Linked DNA regions of Arabidopsis thaliana. Each later gene encodes a partner of the first gene's protein in a complex. Each region holds a gene or a part of one and is shown in the gene's direction. Other genes may lie near its edges.

The links.
Region 2: the proteins of AT5G26110 (region 1) and AT4G34412 are in contact, whole or in part, in a cryo-EM structure (PDB 8K20), measured with the Arabidopsis thaliana proteins. Residues at the interface, in NP_001331017.1 of Arabidopsis thaliana: Thr27, Phe28, Ala29, Arg31, Asn58, Ala61, Arg62, Thr65, Arg68, Lys69, Leu70, Gly71, Val72, Cys73, Val76, Leu77, Tyr78, Ala79, Val80, Asp81, Thr82, Leu83, Leu84, Gln151; in NP_680763.2 of Arabidopsis thaliana: Asp7 (codon at 2,024), Phe51 (codon at 2,470), Leu54 (codon at 2,479), Ala55 (codon at 2,482), Gln58 (codon at 2,491), Ile62 (codon at 2,503), Arg66 (codon at 2,515), Lys147 (codon at 3,342), Thr149 (codon at 3,348), Gln151 (codon at 3,354), Glu152 (codon at 3,357), Ile155 (codon at 3,366), Ser156 (codon at 3,369), Asp160 (codon at 3,381), Val163 (codon at 3,390), Cys164 (codon at 3,393), Ala167 (codon at 3,402), Ala168 (codon at 3,405), Asp170 (codon at 3,411), Ala171 (codon at 3,414), Leu172 (codon at 3,417).

Annotation. Positions count from the first base shown.
Region 1 is NC_003076.8:9,117,376-9,121,685, reverse strand, and holds AT5G26110 (Protein kinase superfamily protein), read left to right. Parts: upstream 1-1,844; 5' UTR 1,845-2,089; intron 2,090-2,221; exon of another isoform or gene 2,222-2,315; 5' UTR 2,316-2,333; coding exon 2,334-2,396; intron 2,397-2,467; coding exon 2,468-2,581; intron 2,582-2,683; coding exon 2,684-2,962; intron 2,963-3,042; coding exon 3,043-3,156; intron 3,157-3,252; coding exon 3,253-3,325; intron 3,326-3,409; coding exon 3,410-3,447; 3' UTR 3,448-3,779; downstream 3,780-4,310. Other genes in the region: AT5G26100 (uncharacterized protein), read left to right, coding at 3,869-4,310.
Region 2 is NC_003075.7:16,452,445-16,456,520, reverse strand, and holds AT4G34412 (EKC/KEOPS complex subunit tprkb-like protein), read left to right. Parts: upstream 1-1,887; 5' UTR 1,888-2,005; coding exon 2,006-2,076; intron 2,077-2,297; coding exon 2,298-2,364; intron 2,365-2,457; coding exon 2,458-2,580; intron 2,581-2,980; coding exon 2,981-3,064; intron 3,065-3,165; coding exon 3,166-3,252; intron 3,253-3,260; exon of another isoform or gene 3,261-3,335; coding exon 3,336-3,422; 3' UTR 3,423-3,561; downstream 3,562-4,076. Other genes in the region: RRTF1 (redox responsive transcription factor 1), read right to left, coding at 3,723-4,076.

The DNA of each region.
Region 1 (4,310 bases):
TCTTCCTTGGTAAAAAAAAAACAATGGTAACACATTAGACCCTAAACAGTTCAGTCAAAGGAACTTACATTGTGTCGTCAAAATGCAGCTAAAAATAGCCCAAAGTTTAATTCTTTATTGTTTAAAATCCTTATCTAACAAACATTGCTTCTCACAGTTTCTTGTTTTTTTCTTTTCTTCAAACTATAATTAGAAAGACATCGAGAACATATCTTAATACTTGAGAAACTAAAATCCCCTAAATTCCAGCAATTTATCTGTCCTTTCAAAGCAATTTTAAGATTAAGAGAACCATAAAATTAAATTCCATTACTCTCACACAATTTTTGATTATATTATAACATTTTGTATGTTGGAGCAAGATGGCTCCCTTCATCGCCTTATTCACCGGCCTTTGTGGCTTCAAGAAAAACGCTCGGCCATTGGGAACGATTGAGACGATGTATCAGTCATCTCCTCGGGAGACCAAAGAAAGAGAACAAACAAATAATGACTTGCAGATCACGAAAAGTGATGACTTGTGGAACAAGGAAAGCGATGATCGAGATACTAATGCATTTAATGACGATAGTAATGAAGCGGACTCTGAGCTTCCGTTGCCTCCAGGAAGAAAAGGAACAATACGTGGAACATATTCGTGTAACAACATGGTGTTAAGAAGATCCTTGTCTACTAAGAAGAAACTGAGTGCGAGCCTAACGATCCAAATACCGAGATCATTGTCCATGGTCCTCAAACGTGACAAGGAGGAGGATAAATCTGTGAGGAAGAAGAAACTGAACGCAGATAATTCGATTCTGGTACTCCCAATTATACTTGGAGAGAGATGTAGGGTTCTTGATGCGGAAGAAGGAGATGAAGATCAAAGCCAAAGAATGGCAGAGAACAGAATATATCGTCCTAGATCCATGAGTTCGATCTCGATTTCGAGAACCAAGTCGAACATCGATATGAATGCTATTCCCGTAGAAGTAACATCAGAAGAACAAAAAATCTGATATTATGATGTCTAAAATGAACTAGCTTCATGGTGATTAGGGGTTAATTACTTAATTGTTAAATCTCATGAATCTGAGTGACATCATCGTGAAATATTTCGATGGAGAGTGATATCACCAATTTAGTTTGAAGGATCATGATAAAGAAAAGTACTCAATGACTTGGAAGCTTTTTTGAAACAAGTAGAGTTGTAATATAAATACCGGTTCACAAAAATGTAAACGAATTGATTTGGTTTCATATATAGACATATAGCTAAAGTGCATTTGGCTAAAGAATTTCACTATTAGACATTGTTTCAAATCATTAAAATTCACAAGCCAACATATTTGTCTTTTTTTAATACATGTAAAATTTATTCGAAAAAACGTTTTTACATCAAGTGCAACATTTGGTAAATAAATTGCGTACAAATTTCCAAGTTTTCATGGATCTATCTTCTATCTCATTGTTAACGAATAGAGGAGATCCAGTTTCAGACTTGTTTGTCGAGTTATCGAAGCAACTGTACGTGCTGGTGGTATTGGTGTCTCTCCAAATTATTAAACTCTCTAAGATGCATTCATTGTAATTTTTATTTTTTTTCTGATGAAGATAATTTTATATTCATCCAAAAAAAACTATCTAATTTGGGTAAAAATTGAGAATGACTTAAGGATTATTTAGAAAATAACTCAAAATGTATCAAATAGGGTTTTGGAAATTTTCCAAACCGAACGAACTAATCATAAACAATGCTGTTTCTGTTTTTCAATTCAAATTTGGATAAACCAAACAAAAACCGGTTCATGTTCTTATAATTTCGGTTTTTGATTCCGGTATGCACCTAGATAACCGGAATCAAATTAAAATTAAAAACCCTAGTTCCGACCTCGTCTTCATTGTTCACAAACGAGTCGCCGACGACAAACTCAGGCGAAAATTTCGCAGCTTCTCTTCCTCCGGCGGTGAAACACAGGTGAGCCGCGAGCCTTTCCGAAAGAGAAGCTTCTCTCTTTCCAACGAAAACAGGCGCCGCGAATATCTCTCTCTTCGTCTCATTCTCCGGCGAACACATACGAGCTCCTCTCCGTCACCACTCAGCTTGCAGGTTCAATTCGACGATAATCTTATGCAATTTAGAATTTTTGACCAACTTGGCAAGCTTGTTGTGTTAAATGATGAAAGGCAGATTTTTTGGTCAATGGTTGTTGATAACTGAAGTAGAGATCTTTAGTTGGAATAGACTTAAGCTAGAAGCGATTATTGTGTGGCCTTATTGCTAGAGCTTCAAAAACAATTGCTAAAGTCTCATTCTTTATGTTGGTTTTGTGTAGAATCCTGAGAAATTTAGAATGGATTGTGAGGAAAACGTTAGGGATGAATCACTCGTTTTGATTAAACAAGGAGCAGAAGCTGTAAGTGTCTCTGTGCGAATCTGTGTATATGTTTTTCTGTCAAGATTAAGTCTTTTCAGTTTTATCTATAGAGGGTGTTCGAGTCTACATTTGCTGGAAGAAGATCCATCGTGAAAGAACGTTTCTCGAAGAAATATAGACATCCGATTTTGGATGCAAAACTCACACTTAAACGCTTGAATGCGGTTGGTTTACTCCGCCTTTTTCTTGTTTCGTTGATGAAGTCATGAGAAAGAGAAGTAAAAATCGAGTATTTCATCTTATATGTGCTTATTTGTTGAATATAGGAAGCTAGGTGTATGACAAAGGCAAGAAAGCTCGGGGTTTGTACTCCAGTCCTATATGCTGTGGATACTCTGCTTCACTCTTTAACACTTGAGTACATTGAGGGGGTCTCTGTTAAGGATATTTTCCTTGAGTTTGGGACCAATGGGGTTGTTGAGGAACGTTTAGATGATGTTGCTGCTCAGATTGGGGCTGCAATTGCTAAGCTCCATGATGGTGGCTTGGCTCATGGTGATTTGACCACATCAAATATGTTAGTCAGAAGTGGAACAAATCAGCTGGTAAGTATCTTCAGAGGTTGTGATAAAGTTCTCTTGATTAGTTACTTATGATTCATGACCATGGATATGTCTTCCCTCAGGTACTAATTGATTTTGGCTTGAGCGTCACATCGACCTTGCCTGAAGACAAAGCTGTTGATTTATATGTACTTGAAAGAGCCTTACTCTCAATGCATTCGTCATGCGGGAATGTGGTAAGTGTGATGCAAATCATAACTTCACTACTTTTGCTGGGTCTGTTGTTGTTGTTGTTGTTGTTGTCTCACTGCGTATTTTGTTGTCAATTGTAGATGGATCGTATACTGACGGCGTATAGGAAGTCCTCAAAGCAATGGTCAGCCACGTTTAACAAGCTCGCACAAGGTTCTATCACACTCCTCTTCCACCTCCTCTTTTAAAACCAACTCTTCTTCAAACCTTTAGAAAGTCTTCTTTTGGTATATGCAGTGAGACAGCGAGGGAGAAAGCGGACTATGATTGGATGAGGCGATGAGCCAAGTTCTCCAGTGGTACTGTCCTTAAAACTTTGACCACAAAGCCACCCAAAATCTGTCCTGTATTATTATTCGATAGCGATCCAATTTGTCGATCAGTATTAAGGTATCAATGCTGAGATGTGTGATCGATTTTTTCAACCAGAAAACGATTATAGAACATATGTCAAGCAGGGCATTCTCATATAAGTACTTAAGAAAGCAACATTATTGATTACGGTTAGAAAGTTACTATATTTATCGATTATGTCAACGAACATATGACAAATAAAGAATGTTACAACACCATTATTACAAAACGTTTAACTACCTTTTATTTGAGCATATAACGGCTTCGTTCTCTAACCATTAACTTTTCATATATAACAAGAAAAAATAGATAAAACCTAAAAGTAATTTCAAAAAGAGTTAAATGGAAAACAAGTTGGTTCTTGGAGCCTTGTGTATATACCTTGTGTTACAAGGCACCTGCGGCGAGGAGAACAACCCTCTGATTAACCATTACGCTGATTACGAAACGATTCATCCTAGCGAATACTACAGCTCCGATTTCGAACTCAAAGACGGAACCAATGTGATCTTCGAAGCCATCAATGAATTGAAAGGGATCAAGAAACCAAAAGCAGGCTTTATGTGCAACTATGGCAAAAAACAATGGACAAGGTCTCTTCCGGGAGACATTTTCTACGCCAAGTTCTTCTTTTACAGCATTAATCCAAACGCAAAGGTCGTTCAACATTGCCATTTCCGGTCAAATTTGGGTTATGTTGATGCCTATATCAAGATAACCCCAGCGCTCGGACGAACATGTCCCGGTTACAGATGCGTTTTAGCGGTTAGACGTGAAGGTCTCT
Region 2 (4,076 bases), on another chromosome or scaffold:
ATGATACATTTTGGAGTCATATCTTCTTCTTTTATATTAATTTAATAGAAATATATATTTATTATTGTGTTTGATAGTCACACACACACACAAAGAGACATAAGTGTTGTCTCTTTGAGTATAGAGATCTAAGATTAGATTCTTAATATATGTAAGTTATCTTCAATAATAACTTAATAGCTCATTTTTGGGATCAACAGCGGGGAAAAGTTAAAGCTTAGTCTCTTGATTGTCAAGAAGAGCCATTTATGATCACAAAAACAATACTACCTGTATTTAATTGTTGGAAGATAAACCCTAATTTGACGCAAAGGGATGTTTTAAGCACATGAACGTTTTAATTTGATGCACATGCATTTCCAAAATAGTAGCATGCAATTTCTGAGAAATTTCCCAAACTCAGTTGTTTTATGCTTCTAGCAGAAATGGGGATAAAAAAATAGTAATAATTTGTTGGCTTTCCAAAGTCTCCAAAGGTTTTACAAGATTTGTTTAAATCATAATCGAAAAGAACAAACACATATATAACAGATAAACTGGAGGCTGAGTAATTAATAAATAGTTAACTTCATAATATATAGTAGTATAAAACTTTATACACATCTCAAAAGACCCATGATGTGACAATGATAGCTGTAATTGCACAGTGTAATTACTACTAATCTGAGTTCCCACGCAACAAGGTTTCCCACAAGCCGTTGCCAGTAAATTATACACAGACGCTGCTCTTCATCTTCACCCCAACAACCAAGAACCCCCATTTTTGCAGACAAAACGGATATAATTAATTAACTCTACTCTTCTTATTGTATTGTATCTATATTGTTTTTCTCGACTATGGAGTTTCATTTTATTTGAAGCTTGCCAATTAACTTGGTGATAGGTTCATGTTGGCTAAATTAAATGTTAAGAACCTCATGTACCAATTATATGATTGAACCTTATATAGTAATATATAAGGAGTAAATTATATTGCTGATTTTGAGTTACAAAAATCATGAATCTTGATATTAAACTTAGTTTTTTTTTTTTGTTAAAGCTAAACTTAGTTAATTTGATGTAAGTAATGCAATATCGATCACATTAATCTCTCACATGGATAATGGGAAGAAAAAGGGAAGAAAATATATAAATATGTGAGTATGTCTCTCTGCTATGGTCTCCCATATAGTGAACAAAGGTTGTCTCTTGCAGTTCACAAAATCTGAGAAAGGTTTGTCTTGTTGTGATGATTTATGCATAAAAAACATTATTATAAAGTAAGAAAACAAAGGCTCGACGTACAAGGTCGGATCTTGGATTCACAATAATAGTAAAGAACAAGGTTCAGTGAACTTCGTGCTCCTTTCCACTTTCATAGCTCGTACACTAAATCCAACATCGTTAGTCAAAATGTCGGTGTTGTCTTGTAACGAAGCAGTTGTGATCATTGATTCCACTTAAGGGATATGGCTGGATGGAATAGATTAATTAGTTTTCTATTGAGTATGTTACTCCATCCTTTTTACGGGTACTTGAAATCTTAAGTGTCTACTATTCAAAAGATATTTGGCAAACATCGATAATTTAATCAGAAATTCAATGTTGAAGTACGTCCGATTTCGATGTTTGTTTTGATGAGATTTTAACATACACACTATCACACTGATAGTCTAATACCCTGCTTCGACGTCGTAATATGATAATCGAAATGGTAAAAAGACTTGTTTAGTGTCTAATACTACGTTATTAGCGACTTGGTAGCGTAAAGAGCGCCTGTAGCTCAGTGGATAGAGCGTCTGTTTCCTAAGCAGAAAGTCGAAGGTTCGACCCCTTCCTGGCGCGTATGTAATGTAGTCTTTTATTTTTTTTTATTTTATGAAAGAGAAAGAAGATCTTCTAGAAGAAGGGTTTATCTTTGACTAGTCTTCTTCTGACTTCGCCGAATGTGTGTCGATCTCCGGCGAAGTAATAAGTCGTAATAACCCTAAAAATCTTGCCCTCTTTTTCGCCGCCGGCTAAAGCTATGAAGGTTTTTAATCTTGACCGTGGAAACACTCTCTCTGTTTCCCTCTTCTCCGGTGTCACCAACTCCAAGTACGCTCCTTCTCTCGATTTTTCAATTCTCTCCCTTTTTCCATAACTTAAGCAATTCGTGATTTGGTTATATGAGAAAGAAAATTGCGTTTTCGATTTTGTTTGTTAGTTAGAGACTTATGGGTTTAGGGAAAATCTGTTTACTTAATCTCTGCATAGCTAAAGCCTCTCTCTTTATCTTCCTAGTGAATCTAACATTAGGGGGTTTATGTCGTATTCAGGGAGCTCTTGAATTCAATGCTTGACGGAAGTCTGAAGCTGGAGGTCTCATTTCTCAATGCATCACTTGTACGTTTTTCGTTGTTGTTTACTCCATTTATTTCAACTTTCGTAAGGACTAAAGAGTTCCTGATCTTAACGAATTTTGTTGTGTATCATCAGATTCCAGACATTTTTCCTCTATTGGCTGCTGCTCAGAAAGCACTTATCTCCAAATCACGCGATTCCTTATCAACCAGAACTCTTCATTCTGAGCTTGTCTACAATTACTCAGGATCTAAGCACGTAAGTACAATCTTTTCTTGTCCTTCTTAAACCTATTCCTGTCTACTTCTGATAAACAATGGGTCTAGTTCTGTTGTTCCACCCTTAGCTATAGGTCGACTATAACTAGATTAGACTTAATGCATCAGATTCTAGCTGTTTTGAGTTGGTTAGAGAGCAGTTAGTTAGCTAGTGACCAGTTAGTGTGTCTAGTTCAGTTGTTCAAGCCTTAGCTACAGGTCTGCTATAACTAGATGGTGATTTAATGCAGTAGATTTTAGCTGTTGTGAGTTGGTTTAAGATGAGATAGTTAGTTGAGTATTGAGATTCTCTCATTTATCAAGTTTCTCTGGTTTGGTAAATTGTAATAAGAATAGCAGTTCACTCAACTTCTCTAATGTTGTTTTTCCTCTTCAACTAGATTACAGAATCATTGAAACGATGTGGGATTTCTGAGAACACTACTTACATTCTAGCTGCCCGGTTCAATGCTTCTCCCGTTGAGGTTATAATCTTTTCAACCATCTAAGAGCTGACTATCCATGTTGTTGCTCTTTTTAGTGGTTTTTTTTTATCAACCATGACATGATTTGAGATCAAAACCAGATGGAGGAGGTGGCGAAATTGATCAACGGGAAGGAGATTGATTTGGAGGAATTGAAGACACATGCAAATCAAGCCAATATACTAAAGGTAATGTTTTGGTAACAGTTGATAACCCTTTTATTTCGCTTCCAATGTTACAGAAATAAACTCAAATACATTCATGTTTTCAGCATTACAAGATAACTAGCCAAGAGCTCGGAATTTCCTCTCTGGGAGATGCCATTGTTTGTCGAATAGCTGCACGCGATGCTTTGTAGGAGTAGACATCTTTTCTTTATGTCTTTTGTCACCAATTATAGTTTTCTCCTTTATAAACAACGTTGACACTTACGTTTATAATTCAGACCAATGTTGGGTTTCTTAACCTCTTTATTTACTCTCTCCTCAGATAGGTTTAACTCAGATTTTATATGAGATAAACATAGAATTGACCACAAACAAAAGAATGAGACTACTAATTACATGCTTTCTTGTTCTTGTTCACTTTAAACAAGCCACAGTGTCAATCTCTTCTTGCACTTAACTCCAAAAAACGCCAACAAGAAAGAGCTCATTTATCACTGGAACATATCAGCAATTGTATTTCCTGAATCTGAAGAATCTCCATTCCCAAAATCCATCATCATCATCATATTCATCCACTCCTCCATATTGCAATCCCCTCCTCCTCCGTTCCATTGCTCTGCTTCAACTGAATCTGTGGCGCTCACACTGGCGCTTGCACTTGCCTTTGCTCCTATATCATCAGCAGCAACAGGAGATGAAACTGAAGACGTGTAATCCACAAAGGGGAAGTTGAGTTTAGCCCTTGGCCCACGGAATCCAATCGCGGCTCGATCATAAGCTCGAGCCGCATCTTCGGCGGTTTCGAAAGTACCAAGCCAAACACGTGTGGCTCTTTTAGGATCTCT